Linked DNA regions of Ovis aries. The main gene of each other region encodes a partner of the protein of the gene in region 2 in a complex. Links are inferred from orthologs where the notes say so. Each region holds a gene or a part of one and is shown on either strand. Other genes may lie near its edges. The genes, in order: PLEKHA4, KLHL12 and PEF1.

What was found.
Region 1: the proteins of KLHL12 (region 2) and PLEKHA4 are in contact, whole or in part, in a crystal structure (PDB 8OIO), measured with the Homo sapiens proteins. The link is inferred for Ovis aries from reciprocal best matches to the Homo sapiens genes KLHL12 and PLEKHA4. Residues at the interface, in NP_067646.1 of Homo sapiens: Phe289, Arg320, Glu417, Tyr434, Ile439, Phe481, His486, Cys511, Tyr512, Tyr528, Leu533, Cys558; in NP_065955.2 of Homo sapiens: Pro177, Gly178, Gly179, Pro180.
Region 3: the proteins of KLHL12 (region 2) and PEF1 are in contact, whole or in part, in a crystal structure (PDB 8RBH), measured with the Homo sapiens proteins. The link is inferred for Ovis aries from reciprocal best matches to the Homo sapiens genes KLHL12 and PEF1. Residues at the interface, in NP_067646.1 of Homo sapiens: Phe289, Gln293, Arg320, Tyr321, Leu371, Glu417, Tyr434, Ile439, Phe481, His486, Cys511, Tyr512, Tyr528, Leu533, Cys558; in NP_036524.1 of Homo sapiens: Gly15, Gln16, Ala17, Pro18, Gly19, Ala20, Pro21, Pro22.

The regions. Positions count from the first base shown.
Region 1 is NC_056067.1:55,187,889-55,193,916, forward strand, and holds the end of PLEKHA4 (pleckstrin homology domain-containing family A member 4), read right to left. Parts: intron 4,896-6,028; coding exon 4,734-4,895; intron 2,846-4,733; coding exon 2,787-2,845; intron 2,388-2,786; coding exon 2,275-2,387; intron 1,944-2,274; coding exon 1,684-1,943; 3' UTR 1,512-1,683; downstream 1-1,511. Other genes in the region: HSD17B14 (17-beta-hydroxysteroid dehydrogenase 14), read right to left, coding at 132-214, 404-442, 945-1,032. UniProt on the Homo sapiens protein: Binds specifically to phosphatidylinositol 3-phosphate (PtdIns3P), but not to other phosphoinositides.
Region 2 is NC_056065.1:79,310,006-79,316,613, reverse strand, and holds the end of KLHL12 (kelch-like protein 12), read right to left. Parts: intron 5,228-6,608; coding exon 5,121-5,227; intron 4,348-5,120; coding exon 4,152-4,347; intron 3,723-4,151; coding exon 3,564-3,722; intron 3,254-3,563; coding exon 3,155-3,253; intron 2,509-3,154; coding exon 2,322-2,508; intron 2,006-2,321; coding exon 1,879-2,005; 3' UTR 1,488-1,878; downstream 1-1,487. UniProt on the Homo sapiens protein: Substrate-specific adapter of a BCR (BTB-CUL3-RBX1) E3 ubiquitin ligase complex that acts as a negative regulator of Wnt signaling pathway and ER-Golgi transport.
Region 3 is NC_056055.1:235,823,534-235,830,553, reverse strand, and holds the start of PEF1 (peflin), read right to left. Parts: upstream 4,286-7,020; 5' UTR 4,274-4,285; coding exon 4,250-4,273; intron 934-4,249; exon of another isoform or gene 812-933; intron 1-811. UniProt on the Homo sapiens protein: Calcium-binding protein that acts as an adapter that bridges unrelated proteins or stabilizes weak protein-protein complexes in response to calcium.

The DNA.
Region 1 (6,028 bases), on a different chromosome or scaffold from region 2:
ATACTGAGCTGAACCGGGAAAGGCAGAGGGAACACCAGTGCAAAAGCCTTCGAGGCGGCCAGGGGAGGGGGTCGGTGGGGAGAGAGAACCAACTGGACATGGCGGGTAGTAGAGACAGAAAATACACTCACCCTCACATCTTCCTCCCGAGTCACGTCACAGCGCAGAAAGACAGTGCCAGGCAGCTCTCGCTCCACCGCCCTGCCCCTGGCCTCTGCGGGAAGAGAAGGGCTGGGGGTCTGGACTTCAGAGTCTGAGGGAGGAGGGGGCTGGGAGGCCGAATCCTGGGTCTGAGGGAGGAGGAAGCCAGGGGTTTGGACTCCTGGGTCTATCAGAGGAGGGGTCTGGGGGCCTGGAATCCCCCTGGAGGGTTGGGGATGAGGACTGAGGGACCCTCACTCACCATCTTTGTCACAGATAACCACCTGGGCACCGCTTTCCACTGAGAATAAGAAAGAAGAGGTTACCCCCAGCCGACCTTGGCGAAGGCCTCTGCTGCCCTCTAGGGGCCACTTACAGCGGGTTGGGCCCGTCTCCCACTCTGCTCCCCTCGTGACCCCAAAGTCTCATGATGACTCCCTAGGACAGAGGGCAGAAGTTTTGACAGATACTCTTCTGGGTTATTCTAGGTGCCTGTTGGGGCTCCTGAGTCTGCCTTCCTGGGTTCCAGAGTAAACCCGAAATCTGCAAGAGACATCGTCCCCCAAACTGCCTGTTTTGCAGAGACAGCTGAGACCACAGAAACGGTGTTTGGAAACCTGCCAAAATCTCAGGCCCTAGGCAACTACCGCCTACCTTTTCGTTCACTTTGCAAATAGGATCTTGTAAGATAAGAATCTAGACTCCAGTATAGGACCTACTTTTTCTCACACCCATTAGTTAGCCCTCGGAGGCCCGTCCTCTCCCAGATTCCCAACATTTAGACCCAGCCAGACCCCACTCACCGAAAGCTCGAACGATCGCGGCTCCTATGCCGCGACCGCCGCCGGTCACGATGACCACCTTCCCAGCATAGCGCGTTCCCATTGCCATTCTGCCGGACACCGCCTCTCCTCTTTCACTCACTCCGGGCTTCTGTCCACCTCCAAAATCGGGTGAGGTAGTGGGGTCAAATCGTAAACAGGGGCCGGATCCTGGAAGCCCGGCCCTGAGGGTGGGGGTGGGGGGCGTTGCCAGGAAAGCCAGAAGCCTGGAAGCCTGGTCCCTCCCTCAGATCCAAGAGTCTGGATGCCCAGACCTTCTTCCCTCAAGTTCAGGATTCCTGGCATCCGGCCGCCCTCTGCCCTCGGACCTAAATGTCCAGGTCCCTCGTCTTCCTTCAGACGCAAGAATCCAGGTCCCCATCCCCCTCTTCCCTCAGGCCCAGTACTCCGGACCCTGAGATTTCCTCCTCCCTCAGACCTACAAGTCCAAGGTCCCGGTCCCCTCCTCCTTTGCGACCCAGAAATCCACGACCCCAGCTCTACCCCCACTCAGAGACACCAGAGTCACAACCTCAAACAGACAAAAAGTTATTGACTAAAAAGTTCAAAGTTTTAATCTAAATTTGGACAAGTGTCGGGAAAAGCAAACTTTGGCCACAGAAACCACTTCTAGGTCACGGGAGAACAGAGGCTGCAGATCTTCAGGTGGTCCCGCCAGGCCACGCCCTCACGCTCTGATTGGCTGCCACGTCTGGGCGCGTCAGAAGCTGGACTGCAGCAGGGTGACCCTCAGAGGCCACGCCCCCTCGTCAGGGGTCAGGGCGGGAGGGGCCGGCCCGGAATCCCAGGTCTCTTCCCAGGAGGCGGGGCCTGCGCCGCGCCCACTACCTCTGGGGGAGAAACCCGTGGAGCAGGAATTGGCTGTTGGAGATCTTCGGGGTGAGGACGCCTGGGGCATGGGATCTGACGGAGGTGGCGGCGCAGGGGGGAGAGGGTCCCCTCGAGAGTCCAAATTTCCACCTGGAGAGGACGGATGGGAAATGAGAATGGCAAACTCAGGAATCCAGAAGTCCAGACACCGCCCTCCGCCCCCAGGCCTTTCCTCTCAAACCTAGGAGTCCGGCCTCCCTGCCCCCTGCTCTCCCAAACTCAGCACTTTTGCACCTTAGCCCCCTCCTGCCTGGAATCTAGCACTCCCAAGCCCTGTCCAGGTCTTCCCTCATCAAGACAAAGGATTCCCAGGGGCCCTCAGACCCCTCCCCATCACGACCTGAGATTCCAGACCTCCGACCCGCCCCCCCCCTCCTCATCCCTAAAACCTAGGAGTCCTAAGTCCCCAGCTCATTCTCACCTGTCATCATTCCGCGCCACTGCGATGCCTCAGCGGCCAGGGCTTGAGAGAGGCTGAGGACTCGCTCCCGGTGCCCTTCGGATGTCAGCAAATAAGGGGTGGTGTTTCTTGGACTAGAAAAAGAGAGTTTGGGCGAAACTTCGATTAGCCAGTACAGTAGAGGCCACAGTGCCGCGCGTGTCCTTCTGGGAGTTGTAGTCCCTAGCACGTGTCTCTAAAGGATTTTAAACGTGGAGCGACCCTCTTTTTTTAGAAGCCCGCGTGCATTGTGGGATTTGTAGTTCAGTTGCCCGAAAATTTCTCCGATTTCCTGACAGCGGGGCGGAGTTTGATATAGAACAAGGAACTGCAGTTCTCCCCGCGAACTAGAGTTTTCTGATTCCCCAAGAACTCAAGCGACTCTAAAAGATTCTGCGATCTGTACTTTAGTACTCAAAAGACATTAACAGTAACACTATTCCCCTTCTCTTTTTTATTTCCCTTCGTTGTTGCCTCGATCTCCAATTCCTTACCTGCTCCAGGACCCCGAACTTCGGAGCCATTTCTGGGTTCCTGAGTGTCCCAGGACAGGCTGCAAAGGAATGGGGGCATTAGAATTCCTCACCCTGGAAGTTCCCATGTTCTCATTTTGAGGGTGAAGAGGCTCAGAGGATAAAATTGCCCCAAAGACACTAATTCTTAACTTTACCTGAACTCCTGGGAAAGAGGGAAGAGTTTGGAAAATTACCACCCTCCCAACCACTTCCCCACGCCTTTTTGCATTCTGGTAAACAGCTTCTTCATATGACTTAGATAAGCCTGAATGATGTGAAATTGATATTTTAAGACAGGACAGGAAAATTAAAGATCAAAGTCTCTCTGCGCGCTTGTTTGGGGCTCCTCCATCCCTAATGTGCAGTGTACACCAGGATTACACATTAGCCAGAGCTCCTCAGAGTTGGCAGTGCTTGCTCTGTTCTGAAGATCATTTCTTTTTTCCCTTTCTTCTGACACTACCAGTGTAACTTCTTAAAAGAACAGCTTCTTTCACAGTTCTGCAGGGGGTCACAGTAACTTGCTGCTGGCTTCGCATGTGCTTCCCTAGACTATGTATCCTTGGTGAAGCTTAGGTAAAATATCACTATGTTATTTGCTTCTTTGTTTGTTTTAAATTGTCTGGCTGCATCAAGTCTTAGTTGTGGCACTTGGGATCTTAGTTGCATCACGTGGGATCTTTTGTCACAGTGCATGGGGCTTCCCTGACAGCTTAGTGGTAAGAATCTGCCTGCCAACGCAGGAGACTTACTTGCTCAACAGAGATGTGGGTTCCATCCCTGGGTCAGGAAGATTGCCTGGAAGGCTATAGTCCATGGGGTTGCAAAAGAGTCGTACATGACTCAGCAACTAAACAACAGCAGATTGTGTAGTTGTGGCGCACAGGCTTAGTTGCCCAGAGACATGTGGGATCTTAGTTCCCAGACCAGGTATCAAACCCTCGTCCCCTGCATTGCAAGGCAAATTCTTAACCACTGGTCTGCCAGGAAAGTCCTGTCAGTATGTCATTTTGATGTTCGATCTTTTGTCTGGAAAACAGACACGAGTGTGCCTCTTGACTTCTAACAGATGGTGAAACAGTTCTCAGAACTTTCTGAGAGTCTCTCTCCCAAGTTCTAATTCTGTTTGGCTCAAATAAAAGTCCCCTTTTTTCTTGTTAACTTGATTTTAATAGAATTTTCATCGACAAGATTCACAGATGAGCCCCCTGTGACGAGGCCAGAAACAGACCCTCCAAATTCACATTCCTTTTGTCATAAATGATTAATGAACTTGTTGCCCCCGAAAAACTAGCTAGACATAGAGATCAATGTTTGATATTCAGCAGACTTGAGATGCCCCCCATTTACAAAAACAATCACAACCCCAAAATCACCCCACTTGTCTAATTCCTTCCTAGAAGAGTCTTAAGATGAAACTATCCATGGGGAATTCCCTGGTGGTCCAGCAGGTAGGGCTCCGCACTCCCACGGCCAAGTCCTCAAACATGGACTGAACCCAAGCCCTAAAATCCCACAAGCTGCGCAGTGGCACAGCCCAAAACGAAAAAACAAGTGAAAAAACCATCCTGCCCAGACAGTCTGATCTTCAGATTGGCAGTGTGATCTCCATGGCAGTAAATACATTTTTTTTTTCTTTGCCTTTGATAGCATAGTAACTGAACAGGAAAACTTGGCTTCCAATCCAGCTCTAAAACCCACTCCTCCCAGAGGAGTGAGAATGCTGGTGAGGATGGAGATGTTGCCTCTGGCCCATCCTGTTCTCCACTGATAAGGGAGACAGGATGCTGAATTGAAAACAGGGACAAGTAAACCTGATATAGAGGAAGGGAAAAAAATCCCCATTTTACAGAGAGGAAAACTGAGGCTCCAACCAGGAACTGAGAACCCACTGCCGCCTCACTGACCCACCCCTGTTTCCCTCACTTTTTGTTCCGCATCAGGCTGGCGTCTGGTTGGGGACAGCGTCCTCCCCAGGGTGAGGAGCCGGGGGGAGGCTGGGCGAGGGAGAGGCCGTCCATATTCTTGATTTCTTCGGATTCTCTCCAACTGCTCCCGAGCACTCATCCGGGGCCGGGCCAGGGGGACCTGGGGAGATGAGAAACATCTAGAGATTCCAACCAGGCCTCTCTTTTCTCTCTTCCCTGAACCTCTCAGCCTCCTCTGTCATGGGCTTCCCTCAAAGCTCAGTTGCAATGCAGGAGACCCTGGTTCGATTCCTGGGTCGGGAAGATCCCCTGGAGAAGGGATAGGCAAGCCACGCCAGTATTCTTGGGCTTCCCTTGTGGCTCAGCTGGTAAAGAATCCACCTGCAATGCGGGGAGACCTGGGTTCGATCCCTGGGTTGGGAAGATCTCCTGGAGAAGGGAAAGGCTACCCACTCCAGTATTCTGGCCTGGAGAATTCCTGTGTCTTGCCCTTCCCAATAAGTTCAGCCCTGGATCTCAAGGACTTACTTCTACACCTGGAGCCCAGGCTGTCCCTCTGCTGGTTATGCTCAAGTCCTTCCATATCCCACAAGGCTCTAGGACAAAGGTGTTACAGTTCCTGTGTGACTGGTTGCTACCCATCTGTCTGGCCTCAAGCCCACCAGCTGCCCTATTGGAACCTGTAGTGCCAGCCTGATCAACACCCACTCTTCTCTGGACATAACAAGTCTCTTGGAAGTAGTAGTTGGGACGCTGGTTTGCTCATGATTTTAAAAAAACAATAATAAGTCTGGTTTCAATCAGCTTTGAAAACATTAATATGAAGGATGAGATTTATTGTGTAACTAAGATCATTAAGAAGATCACTTTGGGTTTGCCTGAAGGAGGACTCGACAAGTTCTCCAGTGCCCTCAAAACCAGAGGGAAGAGACACACAGGGAGAGTGTCCTGTGATAATTGTGGTTATCTGCCACAAGCCAGGGAACTTTGTCTGAAGCTTCCAGAAGTATGATACTGATGACACCTTGATCTTGGGCTTAGAGACTTAGGAACTCAAAACGCAAGAGGATGGGGATGAATGGAAGGAGAACTTGAAATCTGGAATGTTCTCAATCTATCTCCTTTGCAAGGAAGCTTGCTCTGAGGAGAATGCCAAGGGTGTGGCTGGAAAACCATTTGGTAAGAGATCAGGCATGTGATATGTGAGTCCAGTAAACCAGCTCAGCAGAAAAGCTGCCCAGTCAAAACAAAGGAGACAGAGATCGGATAAAATGAAGGAAGGCTGTTGGACAT
Region 2 (6,608 bases):
CGCAGAACAAAGTGCACTGGAAGCACCGATTAGGAGTGATTCCATCCGGGGAGCCAGAAAAAGCTTTACCGAGGCAACACTCTTCTCGGAACTATTTGGGAAATGGGAAGTAAGTCAGCGGTGAAGCCAGCCTGGGGCCATCCTCTCTTCATCCCCACTCTTCTGCCTCCCCTCTTCCTCCCTGAGAGAATGAGTCACAAGTGTCACCACTTGGTTTAATCAGCAGGCACAATCCATCTGCTAGGGAAAGGCTGGCAGGCCTCTTTCCTGAACCTCTTTGGCTCCCCCTTCCCTCTGCTCTGGAAATATCAGGATTTTTGCAGTTTTGCAAGCGTTCTGCAGCTATTTGTGTCACGTGGCACAAAACCGAGGGAAACGGTAAAAGGACTGGGGCGACTAAAGCCCTGACATTCAAGCGGGTACAAAACCAGCCCAAGATTGCCTCCGCTTTGTTCCCTGTGGTTTCCGAGTCAGGGCCGAGTGTGAGGGGAGGCCGTGAATATGCCATTCGGATAGCCTCATGCTAATGAGTCTCCGGAGACCTCTCAGCTGTCTAACAGAAACAGAGCAGTTAGTGGCAAACACACAAGAGAACGGGTTGAAGAGACAGGACCTACAGCAGCTGTCTATGCCTTGTCCCCCGAAACGTCTGGAAGATGGTGCTGGTTTGCCACAAACTCTTACAGGCATTTGAGACCACTGTTTTTTTTTTTTGTTTGTTTTTTAATATTTTCTTAAAAAAATACAAACAAAACGAACTTTAGGTCAATATTAACTCAGGGAAAGAGGAAAAAAAGGAATTCCAGAACAAAGGGCAAGTGCCTTCTTGTTTAGGCGACCGCGCGGTCCCCACACTCCCGATTCTCCGAGCAGGAGTGCCTCTGCGCAGCACAGGGGCGCCTTGGGAGTTCAGAAGGCCGGGAGGCGCCGAACTAACAAACGGGTTTCGGTTCTCATCGTTATTCCGTCCTGGGATGAGTGAGATCCAGTCTAAAGACAGGGAAGGGGTGTTCTAATAAGAAAGGACAACATGTACAAAACACAGCAGTAAAAACGACTCCTTGGCAGAAGTATGCTCTTACAAGAACCAGGGGAGTCACCAGGCGACTGCCACCCCCGCTCCTCCCCTCCCCCTATAAACAGTACCGACGGCAACAGTGGAGAAAGCAGTCCTTGATTCAACAGAGGAAAGCCTTCCTGGGATACAGGTGCGGCAGCCGGGGCGGGGGCGGGGGTGGGCAATGGTGAAGTCACAGGAACTTCGGTCTGGGACACGTTTCCTGCACTGCTGCTCTGTGTCTAGGGCCCAGCAAAGACCCTCAGGTAACACGCCCCCTCAGCCTTCCACGTGTTGCAGGCTCTCTCACACCCCACCGCATCCAGGTCCCGTCCTGCACTGGACACCCAGTTCCCCACTCCCGAGGCCCCCGAGGTTTTGACAGGGCTCTTCCCTCGTTTTCCTCCAAAACAGAACTCTGTTGCCCCTGTTACCTGTAGACTAGGAAAGAGATTTATTCTTGGAAAACCAAGAGAGTTGGTACCCTTCCAGCCCTGCCCACACCCTGGAGTTCATGTTCACCTTAATTGTCCACAGCACACGAGGCACAAGGTATATTCTCTGGAGCGCACACGAGGTTAAAGGCGAGGACCAAGTGCCCCCGCGGCCAGGAGAAGGGTCTGGCCGATCACACCCATGCAGGGTGCGGCCTCCGCCCTCGAGTGCCTGCGGCCTCCGCCCTCGGGGACACCCCCAACGCCAGGGCGTGTCAAATAAGCTCAGTGAGAGCCGCGGCACTGAGCCTGTCATCCCCTCCCCGCACTGAGAACAGACATTCTGGAAAGGACCCTTGGTTCTCTGCAAACTGTCTCTTCGCCCAGTCATTTCTCTCGGAGAACACACACGCCGGCGTCGCAGCGCTGAGTTCCCATGGAGGTCACGACCTCCCAGCTGTCAATGATGGGGTCGTAGCACTCAATGCTGCTCAGCAGGGAGTTCCCGTCGTAGCTGAGGGAGAAGGGCCAGCAGGGATAGAGAAAGGCGCACCTCCACCGGCCCCGCCCACCGGCCCCGCCCCCAGCCCTGCCCCGCCCCGGCCTCGCCCAGGGCCTGTCTCAATAGGCTCCGCCCCGCCCCCTCCCCACAAGGCCCCGCCCACAGCCTGTCTCAATAGGCTCCGCCCCACCTCTCCCCACAAGGCCCCCCCTCCCCACAGGGCCCCACATTAAGATTGCCATGGAGCCCTCTCTGCGGAACCAAACCCTGTCTCCACCACACACGTGGATCAGCTCACACGGCCCTGGATCCCAGATTTACCCCTCACCCTGCAATTGCATAAAGTCTCCCCCGAAGCACCGTGGCCCCGACGTAGCACCGCGGGGTGGTCATGCTCGTGACCGTTGTCCAGGAGTCGGTGCGAATGTTGTAGGCTTCCACAGAAGAAAGGTGGGCTGTACCATCGAATCCCCCCACCACATAAATATGGTCATTCAGCAGCGCTACCCCTGCACCTGGGGAGGAAAGGGCACAACAGATGACGGCTGCTGGGCTGAGGATCTGAACCCTAGAAACAAAACACTGACAGACGGCTGGGTGAGCCCCAGAGTGGCCGAGGGATGGGCCAGGGCCAGACAGCCTGGAGGATCTAGTCCAGCACAGGCCACGCACCTGCAGCCCTCTTCGCCTGGCCGTCATCTCACTTTCATTAACTCGGAGCCCAACCCTTGTCATGAGAGAAGGGAGTGGAAAAAAGAGGGAAAGAGAGAGGGGTCGTGATGGGTCTGGAGCATCTGCTACCGGGAGGCAGGGCTCTCTGTTCCTCCACACCAGCCTGAGGGCTCAGAAAGACCCCTCCCTGCCCGACTCCTGCACATGCTCCCTCAGGCAGCCCACGCCACTGCACAGAGCTGAGCTGGAGGCCAGGATGGAGGGAGGGACTCAGGTACAAAAAGACAAGGCAAGGAGGCTCTGCTCTCACCCTAACCCAGGGAGAGTCTGGGCTGTCTCCAATGCCGCTGTATTTAGGGAGCACAGACACTGAGGACAACGGCCCTGACCCATGTTTCCCAGGTTGCCAGTGATGACAGGCCTGCAGCCCCACTGCCCAGGCAGCTCTGACAGCTCCGCCTCCGGCCCCTGGGGCCTGCCCGGTCTTACCAGAGCGCTTGGTGGCCATCGGTGTGACATTAGTCCAGTGTCCTGTATGGGGGTCATACTTCTCAACTGAGTTTAAGATATTCAAGCCGTCATATCCTCCTGAAAGACAGAGCGGGAACCATTCCAGAAAGAATGGTCGGTGCGGATTCCCGCTCCTGGCCTGCCTTCCTCAAGTGCCCTGACTGAGGCTCTTCGTCCCAGCTCTCTTCAAGGGCTCCAGAGAGAAACCTGAGAGCAACCTGTCTTCTGCTCTCACGAAAAGGAGAATCCCAGTGAGTGGAAACTATACTGGGACAGACCAGGGTTTTAGGGGGAGGAAGTCTATGAACCAATTCCAGTGAAAGGGATCCTGCGCCGAGGCCGCTGCCCTTAGTCATCCCGCCCCCACCCCGTCCCAGACCCCACACACCTAGACAGTAGATCACCCCGCTGGCCACCACGAGGCCGGCACCTTCCCGGGCCGTCTGCATGTCGCCCAGCATGCTCCACTGGTCGATGTTCGGGTCATAGCGCTCCATACTGGTGTGGCGCCTGCTTCCATCGAAGCCCCCAGAGACATAGATCATATCTGCTCAGAATGAAGGAGCCACAGACCGTTAGAGAGTGAGAGGTTTGTAACGACTCCTTGTCTACAAATCTCCCACAACTCTTCCAAATGCCTGGAGCCAGAAACAACTGTTTGGTTTTTTTTAAGGGATAAATCAAGTCTTTCTTAAAGAGGACAGCACAGTCAAGACAAGTGAGAAGAACAGGGTAAGATGGAATCTTCAGAAACATTCCTAGATGCGAGTCTGCAAAACTACCACTAGCGCCAGCTGCCCCCTCAGCACACTGGAGCCTGAGTTACCAACTCCAGTGTCAGCACTGAGATGCCTTGGAGTGTTTCCGAAACCAGAAAGGTGTGACTGACCCCACCGGCTGCCTCCACATTTCATGGAGGTGTGAACCCCGATCCAGCCACACCGAGATGCACGCGCCGCCCTGTGCAGCAGCCTACCTCCCAGGGTGGTGGCTCCAGCCAGGCCCCGCCGGACGTTCATCGGAGCCACAGAATACCAGACCCCGTCCTCGTCTGCCGTGTAGTCCAGACACTCCACGGAGCTGAGGCGGGAGCGGCCGTCATAGCCACCAATCACGTAGATCCGGTCGTGAAGGGACACCGAGGCCACATAGCGTCTCTTCCGAGTAATGCTCTGGGATTCAGGGGAGAAGAGGCGCCTTTGCCACTTTAGCCAGACAAGTCTCAGGCCTCACCTTTGTGGTCCTTCCTGGGTTTCCCTCCGCACCTTGTTGCTTTGCCTGTGGCCGTGAAGCCCTCTGAGCAGAGGTTTATCTGCTGCCTGTCCACTGGACAAACGCCTCTTGCTCAGTGATGCTCTTACTGATGAGTGTCTTCTGTGCGTCTGTCTCTAAGGATTCCAGAGGATCTACCATCCTTCCCTTATCCAGTATCTGATTCCTTCCCATTCCATAAGCACTGCGCTAAAGACCAACATCCTTCCGTGAAGCAGGAAGAGACTAGTGCACTGCTCTCTAAGGGCCAGGACCCAATGACCTGAAAGGCCATGAGAAATGACCCAAAGATCCCCATGGTTCTCACAGTTACTGCACTGAAGCAGAAACCCCCAAGGAGACACAGACCCTGGGTCCCACGGACACCAGCTCAGTCCAGCACAGCTGAGCACCGTGCTCAGGCTAACAGGGCAGGAGCGGGCACCCTGTGAACCGATCGGGAGGCCGGAAGGCGTGGGAATGGTGGTGGCCAGCTGAGTGTAACTGCACACAGGGCCGTGAGTCCTCCTGAAGCCGAGTTAGTCAACAACCAACTACTGTAACTGACTACTGTCAGGAACTCTGCTGCTGTGACCAGGCCTTTCCACTCTGAGGGCTGGGTTAGTTACCACCCGGAGTCAGGGACTGCGGACATTTAAGCTCTTTCCCCGGGCCTGGTTCCACCACAACTTACTGGCAAAAAGCTCCACTCCTGCGTCTTGGGGTCGAACTTCTCCACGGCGTCGATGGGAGACTGCTGGCTCCCGAAGCCCCCGACCACCAGAAGCACCTCGTTGGCCCCTGAGGACAAGCGAGGAGGGGCCGCTTTCCCGTGGCTGCTGGCTGACTGCCTCGGGGGCGGAGCAGCGCAGACAGCACCCGGGCGCCTTGTCCCGCGTGGCCTGGAGGAGCCACCCGAGACAGGAGGTCCTCCACGAGGCTGCCCAGCAGCAAACTGCTCCTCCCTGAGAGCCTGAATCTCTGAAACGTGAATTTCTAGACAACATTAAAATTCTGGAGGGCACGCCTGAACACGCCCTGTGTGTGCTCGCTTGTGTTGGATTCTTTGTGACCCTGTGACTGTAGCCCGTGAGGCTCCTCTGTCCATGGGAGAAGCTTGAACACACCCTACACCGCATCAGCCCATCTTTACGATTCCAGCTGAGTTCACAACAGGCTCTAAGGGTAGGCTGGAGGAGCTCCCTGCCTTTCTCACCCTGTAAAACTCAAAACGGGAGTTTTTTGTGATGGCAAAGAATTTTCTCCTAACCTTGGCTCCCAAAATTTGAGATGTGGCTTAGGAACCAAATAATAAATTTAAAAATCTTTTCCATGACTTTTATTTTTCCAAATTAGCCAACTCCACGACCACGTGTCCTGTTAATTCATCAAAACTGCCAGGTAACCGACCATAAGGCTAGACTTTTAAAGGGAGTCTTTTTCTCTACTATCTTACCAAACGAGGCATTTTGATAGCTTTTGTGTCTTCCCCTTTTCCCTAGGGACTTCTCTGGATAATATTCCCATGATATTTCTTTTGAGAAAATCCCCTGTGTAGCTGCTCTACTGTAGAGAAGTTAGCTGGGGCATTTCAGGACAGTCAGGAGGGCATTTAGCTGACCTGGACTGGAAAGACCAAATGGAGTACCTCTAAACTGACAGGAAATACAGACAAGCCCCCAGTGAAGTCACGGCTGCCACGACCGGCAGGGGAACAGCAAAAACCGCTCAGCACGAAGCACGCCACCATCGCCTGTGGAGAGCCTGTGCCACAAAACTGAAGCTGAATCTTAAATTTTATCAAGACTGATCAAATCTAGTTTAACTACCAGTTTACAGGAGACACGGGGGACAGAAAACGTGTTAAATGAGACTACTGGGATGTAGTCAATAAAATCTAGCTCGTGGGAGACTCAACAGATAAACTGCAGAGGAAAACCAAAGCAGGAGTGAAAAGCCTGTGGATTTTACAGAGAGTTAGGAGAGCTATGAGCCCAGCGCAACACGTGAGCCTTGTCTGGATGCCGGCTGGAGCAGCTGAAGCATTCAAAAACAAAGAAAAATAAATTATGGGAAAACTGCGGAAATGTGAACGTGTACTTACATCTGATGAAAGTGAATAATTGGTTGTATGTTTCATTTTTCAGAGACACACACAAAAGCATAATATGGATGGAATTTT
Region 3 (7,020 bases), on a different chromosome or scaffold from region 2:
CCCATTCTAAGGAGTTAAACAGTCACAAGACTACAGAACGAGTGGTTTGGGCGTTCACCAGCAGAACGTCCTAAAATATTTAAAGGCTAGAAGCCTGCAGCCAATAAACAACGAGCCAAGAATTGTCCCAAGACTTCAATTACCACCTCTGTGCTGACACTCTAAAATCTTTCTCTCCAGCTTCATCTCTTGTGAGCTGCAGACCTTCATATCCAACAGCCTCCTGACGCTCCATCCAAATCTGCTCCTCCCGGTGTGCCCATGGCAGGGAAGGGACATGCTGGTGCACCCCCTGAGCCCTCCGCTTTCCTCTCTGTTGCCTCAATTAGGCGCCAAGTTTCCTCACTTCTGCTTCCCAGCTCCATGTTCACCAGGCCACTGTTCTCTCACCTAGATAACTTTTTTTTGGACAGGAAAGTAGGATTTATTGGTGGGCAAGAATAAGGAGGGGTCAGCGCCAAGGCTCTCAAGAATGCAGGGCACATGACCTGTCCAGAGGACCACGACTACGGATGTATCTGACCCCACAGCTATCTGGATGAGCCACTTTTCTGCCACTATGTTTTCAAGTTCATCCTCATTAAACTTCAGTAAATGCCCACTTCTTGGAGATGGGGACCTTCTGGTGGCCAGAGAACTTGAACTTGGCCCTGCGGAGGGCTTCAATCACAAGCTCCTTGTTCTACGGCTTGGTGTGGATGGACAGTATGACTTGGCCACTCTCCCCTGGCGCTTTCTAAAGGCACTGCACATAACCTGCTTGGAGTCTAGACTAGGGACAGCATGCCAGTCATGAATGTCCACTGGAAAAGGCTGCCTCCAAGGTCCCTTAGGGCAACAGGCTGTATATACCTCAGAGGAGGTTGCTGTTTGTGGCCACGGCACACGGGGCCCCCACAGTGGAAAGAGCACAGTCAGCTCAACTGGCTGCAAATCACCTAGATTGCTTCAACAGCTTTGAAACTGGTCTCCCTGCTTCAACCCATCCTGACAGTGACCCCCGGGAACAGCTTCAAAACACAAATGGGATAAAACTCTTTAGGAGATCTCTCACAAGTCCACCCTCCTCAAAACGGAACATAAGGCCCTTTAAGATCTAGTCCTTGCTTACCTTTCTGGTCTCATTTCTTACCATTTCCCCCTCCTCTTCACTACAACTAGACTGATCTCCTTAAATTCTTCGACAATACTGGGCTCTTGTTTCCTGGCCTTTGCGAACACTATTCTCTCCGCCGGAATACTTTCTTCATGCAGCCAACTCCTACCAGATATTCAGCTTTTGGCTTAAATGTCATCTCCTTTAAAAAGCCTTCCTTCCCTCAAGACTGAGTTAGGGATCTCTCCTGGGCAGGCCTGATTCTTACTCACATTTACTACTCATCACGCTGATTCTACAATTCATGTGTCTGTATCACTGTTCCACCTGGAGTATTTACTAGATGCCAAAACACCGTATCACTCACTTAACGTGGATTATCTCATTTAATTTTTACAGTAACTCTTGAGGTAGGTATGCCTATGATCCCATTTATAAAAAGGGGGATACCAAGCCTCAGACTCTGGTGGGAAATATCTGCAAGGAAATGGCAGTGGAGGGGTTTGAAGCCAAATTTCTCTGGTCTCAGAGACCAAGCTCTTATGTGCTGAAATCCATTAGGTTGGCTCCCTTGACACGACCAAAGGGTACTTGAGTTTTATCCAGTCCATGCTTGAGGACCCCCCAGGCAGGAGGCAGTGGAAAGTTACAGGAATTCTGATTCCTAACAGGAGGCTGGAATCCTCCAGGGCTACATACTGAGTGGAGGACAGGCAGTACTAATTTTTTGGATGCTTTCAAACAACCCACTTCCTTTCTTGCAACACAGTGGACCAGGAGTTGGATAGGAGGAACAAAGGTATGGTGAGGGAAGAGCATTTCTTTTTCTCCTTGAGGCACATTTCTCTCTGTGCTCCTTCTCACTGTCTCACTGAGCCTAAGGCCAGGCAGCACGGCATGACGACAGCGATCACAGAAGCAAGAGCGACGCCACCACCCGCCAGCACACACTAGCAATGCACCAGGTTGCCTACAGGCTTTACCACATTTCATCCTCTTTTCAGCCCTATGAAGTATTATTCCTCCCTCTTTACAAGTAAGGAAACTGAGACTCAGAGTCCTTAGATGATTTGTCCAAAGGGGTATAAATATTAAATAGCAGAATTAGGATTCTAGCCCAATTCGGTCTAACCTGGAAGTTCAGGCTCCTAATTTCTGTCACTGCTTCTAGGATGCATACCAATGATCTCCAAAAGCTTATTAAAATGCAGACGCTTGGGCCTTTTCTGGGTACAGAACAGGTCTGAGGTGGAAATCTAATCCGTGCTTTTTTAACAAGCTCCTAGGGGATTCTGAGGCAGACCACCCACCGAGAAACAATGCATCATGGCAATGTTTTCCCAAACTATATTCCTCAAGAATAATATTGGTGTCACCAAAAAAACGACCAGACTCAAAACAGGGGAGGAGGAGTTTTCCATGGTTAAGTAAGTTTAAGAAACACTGCATATTCCATCCCTCTCTAGCAAATATACAATGTTTATTAACAAATTAAGAATTCTGAGATGCTTTGTGATGAAAAACGTACTATATTTAACAAACTTATTTACCCATACTTCCTTATTAGCAATACTTATTAACACCTCACAAGCCTCAGCAAATGGAACCGAGCTTGGTTATACTTCCTCCTAACCTCAGCCCCAGCGGGCCTCTCTTTCCTACCTCTGCCAAGTATGCAACAAAAGTTCTAAGTTCTAGCATAGATGCTCCCTCACTTGCTATGTGCAACCATGGGCAAGCCACTTAACCTCTTTGGGCTCTTTCCAGAGTTATAAGTTGAATCAATTATTCCTGCAAGCCTTCTTATAGTGCCTTCACGACAGAGAATATGGATGTCCAAATACTGTGTACAGGGCTGCACTGCCGAAGAGGGCTCTTGCCACATCTTTTGGTATGTGATTACACACAGCGCTTAGTAATAGCCCATGTGACCCTGTTTGCCAATTTTTCCTGCGTGGGTTTTATCTCCTAAATTAGTGTGATCTTGGGCAACTCAGGAGCCCTCTCTGGGCTTCAGGTTCCTCCTTTTAAAATGAAGGAACCTGGCACTTCTCAGGTGGTCCACCAGTTAGGACTCCGCACTCCCAACGCAGCGGGCCCAGGTTCCATCCTTGGTTGGGGAACTTGATCCCACATGCTGGAACTAAGACCTGAGGCAGCCAAATAAACGACATTTTAAAGTAAATTAATAAAACGAAGGAACTCTTTTGAGGGCTCTTCCAGCACTGACCTTCTAGGAATCTAGGAAAAATCAAAATACTAAAAGGTAACATCCGTTACACTCTTATTTGTACCACAGGTTTTAAGAGCATCACTTCATTATTCTTCATAACAGCTCTATGAAATAGACCCTATTATATGGCCCTATTTTACCGAGAAGGAAACTTCAACTCAGAAAGGCAAAAGTACCCTGTTTAAGGGCTCTAAACTAAGTGATGGAGCCAAGATGTGAACCTTCCTCTGACACCAAACTGCACTTGATCACTCAACCATTCTGTCATCCAACAACGTATTCTGGCCACACAATCACCTTGCTGTGGCATTCTTGGCTGGATCAAGGTGCGCTGGGGAAGAGGCATTTGCTGACAGCTCCGGATTCTGCTGCCTAACGACTTCAAATAAATTCCATGTCTTCTTGGGTTTTACTTTTTCTATGAGTGAAACAAAGGTACTGGACTAAATCAGTGGCCAGACAAGCTCACTTGTGCAGTCTGCTAAAACCACAGATTCTCCTGATTATTCAGATGCAGTACGTCAGAGGTGTATTTTTATCGACTCCCCAAAAGATACCGACAGAACCAGTGCTCTAAACGTTCTGCTGGCGTTGCTGACCCCGCTTACGGGCCCCGGTGGAGTCCTGGGAGAGTTGTAGGGCCCAGGCCAAGCGCAGTCTGACTCTGGGGTCCAAGAGCCCCAAATCTTCCCATGCGCAACGTCAAAGGGGGCGCGACACGACCTCCCAGACGTGCATGCCTACGTGACGTGAGCCAGGCGCGACCGACCATCTCTTTTCCCTTCTCTCCTGCGCAACCTCGCGGAAGACAACCTCAGCGTGGGAAAAGGCGCGGAGGAGGCGGGGAGAAAGCGAACCAGGGGGGTCCGGGCAGGACTTAGCGAGGGCCCTACTCGAATTCGCCCGCCCCTCACACTCACCTGCCCGTAAGGATAGCTGGCCATGGCGACTCTGACGTCACACGTCCGCGAGGGGCGGAGCTTCCAGGCGTCAAACCTGCCTCCTTCTGGGCCTGGGGGCGGGCCCTATTCTAATTGGATGTATGAGACTGTCCATCCTGGACGCATGGGTTGACGGAACTGACGCTCTAGGGCGGGGGTTTGGTGCCTCCTAGAGAGGTGGGCTCCCGTCTATGGGGTCGCATAGAGTCGGACACGACTGAGGCGACTTAGCAGCAGCAGCAGCAGCAGAGAGAGGCCAGCGGAGCTAAGGGTCAGGAGACCGATCCCGGAAAACTTGATTGTTATCCTGGCGCAGCTCTTCCTCCCTTTCTTGCTCTAGAGTAGGTCCCGGGGCTGGTCGGCCTGGGTATTTAGAGAGAAACTTGGGTAGGGTGTTGCAGCGGTGGCCATGTTTTAACCTGGCAAAAAGGACGCATGAAAGTGGCGTAGTTGCTGTCCTCAGTCCAAGTTTCCACCAGGGGAAGGCCAAGGCGGTTACCCTGACAACGGGGCACAGAGGCATCCTGGGAAGGACAGAGGCTAGGGCTAGAAGTACTTCGTTCTAATGTCAGGACACCATATGTCAGTAACTTTGGAGTGGGATCTATGGTATTTGGACAGGAAAATTCCAAGCCGTCAGAATGGGAGGGAAATTGGATCGTCTGAGGTCTCTTCGGGCTTTACTTTCACCACCAAACACATCCACAGCTGAGCCTTGTTTCTACTTTGGCCCAGCCTTTTCATTCGTTCAGGCTCTCCTGATGGCTTAAAGGGTTAAGAATCTGCCTGCAATGCAGGAGACACGGGTTCGACCCCTGGGTAAGAAAATGTGTACCCATTCCAATATTCCCTTGGACAGAGGAGCCTGGTGGGCTACAGTCCTTAGGGTTGCAAAGACTCCAATAGGACTGAGCAACACTTTAATTTCTTCTGGAGTTATTTCTCCTCTCTTCCCCAGTAGGATACTGGACATCTATCTGCCTGGGGGCTTATCTTTCGGTATCCTATCTTTTTGCTTTTTCATACTGTTCATGGGGTTCTTGAGGCAGAAATACTGAAGTGATTGCCATTCCCTTCTCCAGTCGACCATGTTTTGTCAGAATGCTCCACTGTGACCCGTCTGCTTTGGATGGCCCTGCATGGTATGGCTCGTAGTTTCATTGAGTTACATAAGGCTGACTTGTTTCAAAAATGGAGAAATAGGTCCAATGACCTGCCCTAGTTCACTATGGCTTAGGGGCAGAGTGTAGCCTAGAACTGGGGTCAATGGATACCCCAGGTCTCATCAGGGAAGGGTTGAGGACTGATCCCCAATGTAAGTAAGATCCTGGTTATTAAGAGATGTCAACTACAAGTTGGCACTTGCCAAGAGCTTTTGCCAGCGACTGAAATGCACCAACAAGGGCCCTTGCTGTCTGCCTGTGCTGCAGCAGCTGCTGACCTTCAACACTCCCCAAAGGGAATTCAGAGTGGAGAGAGAGGCACTCTGTGCTCCAGGGAAACTGATGAAACAGGTCTTTAGACAGTTAGATATTTTCAGGAACTGATTTTATGATCCCAATCCTTGCATCTCCTCATATCTAGAAAGGCACTAAATCCCTCGATGGTGACATCAGTTCCTCTTGATTAGCAGAAAATCTTTTGTGAAGTAAGCTCATGAGTGCATTGAACTCCCCCTTTACCACAATCTTATGTATTGACCTCTCCCCACTGCCTCTTGGGAGCAGTCTTTCAGAGCTATCTGAGGTGCTCTCTCCTAGGCTGCAGTCCTCATTTTGCCCCCAAATAAAACTTGACTCGCGACTCTAAACATTTTTTTAGTTGACAAAGACCTCACAGTCATATATTTGCTTCTTTGTGGTTTAGACTCTCCACTTGTTTGCATGCTTATTTGATTAATTTGTTAGTTCTGTATGGCACAGCTTGTGTCTGATTTTGCTTGTCATTGTATCTCCAGAACCTGTATTTTTAAAAATAATTAATAGTGTTACGAGGTGGTGTCACTTTTGGCCATCTAGCCATTGTCACCTGCAACTTGGCATTTGCCATCTATCTCTACAAAGGATCAAACTATGAGCCACTGTTGCTGCTGACCTTCAACACCGCCTGAAAGGATTTAAATGTGGAGATTCGGAATGAGGCATTCTGTGCTCTGGGGAAAACTGGCAGAATAGGTCTTCAGTTAGGTATTTTCAGGAGACAGTGTTAAGAGCCCCATTCTTGCATTGCCTCGTACCTATAAAAGAACTAAAATCCTCCATGGTGACATCTGCCTCTCATCACTGGCAGACATGTTCTGCAAAAAATAGGGACTTGATTACATGTATTCCCCTTTCACCAAAATCACATATATACTGACCTGCCTCCTACCACTTCCGAGCAGTTTCTCAGAAATATCTGAAATGCTTTTTCCCAGACTATTGTCCTCATTTTGCCCCAAATAAAACAACTCACAGCGCTCATGTTTTGCCTTTTTTTTTCAGTCGACAGCCAGCACTTCCCAAAATCACAGTGCTGATCATGCTCCTAGCCCCCTGGAGAAAGTACAATGGCTTTCTTCATCTACATGTACAAAATAAGGTCCAACCTCTTCATTGCAGCGCTCTAGACCCTTCACAATCTGACCCAGCCTCACCTTTACATCTTATGTCTTACAGCCCCTGTTTGTCTGCTGTTGTATGTTCAGTTCCACCATTCAGCCCCCTTTCTTTGGAATGGGGAATCTTGATTCTACCACTTTCTAACTCTAT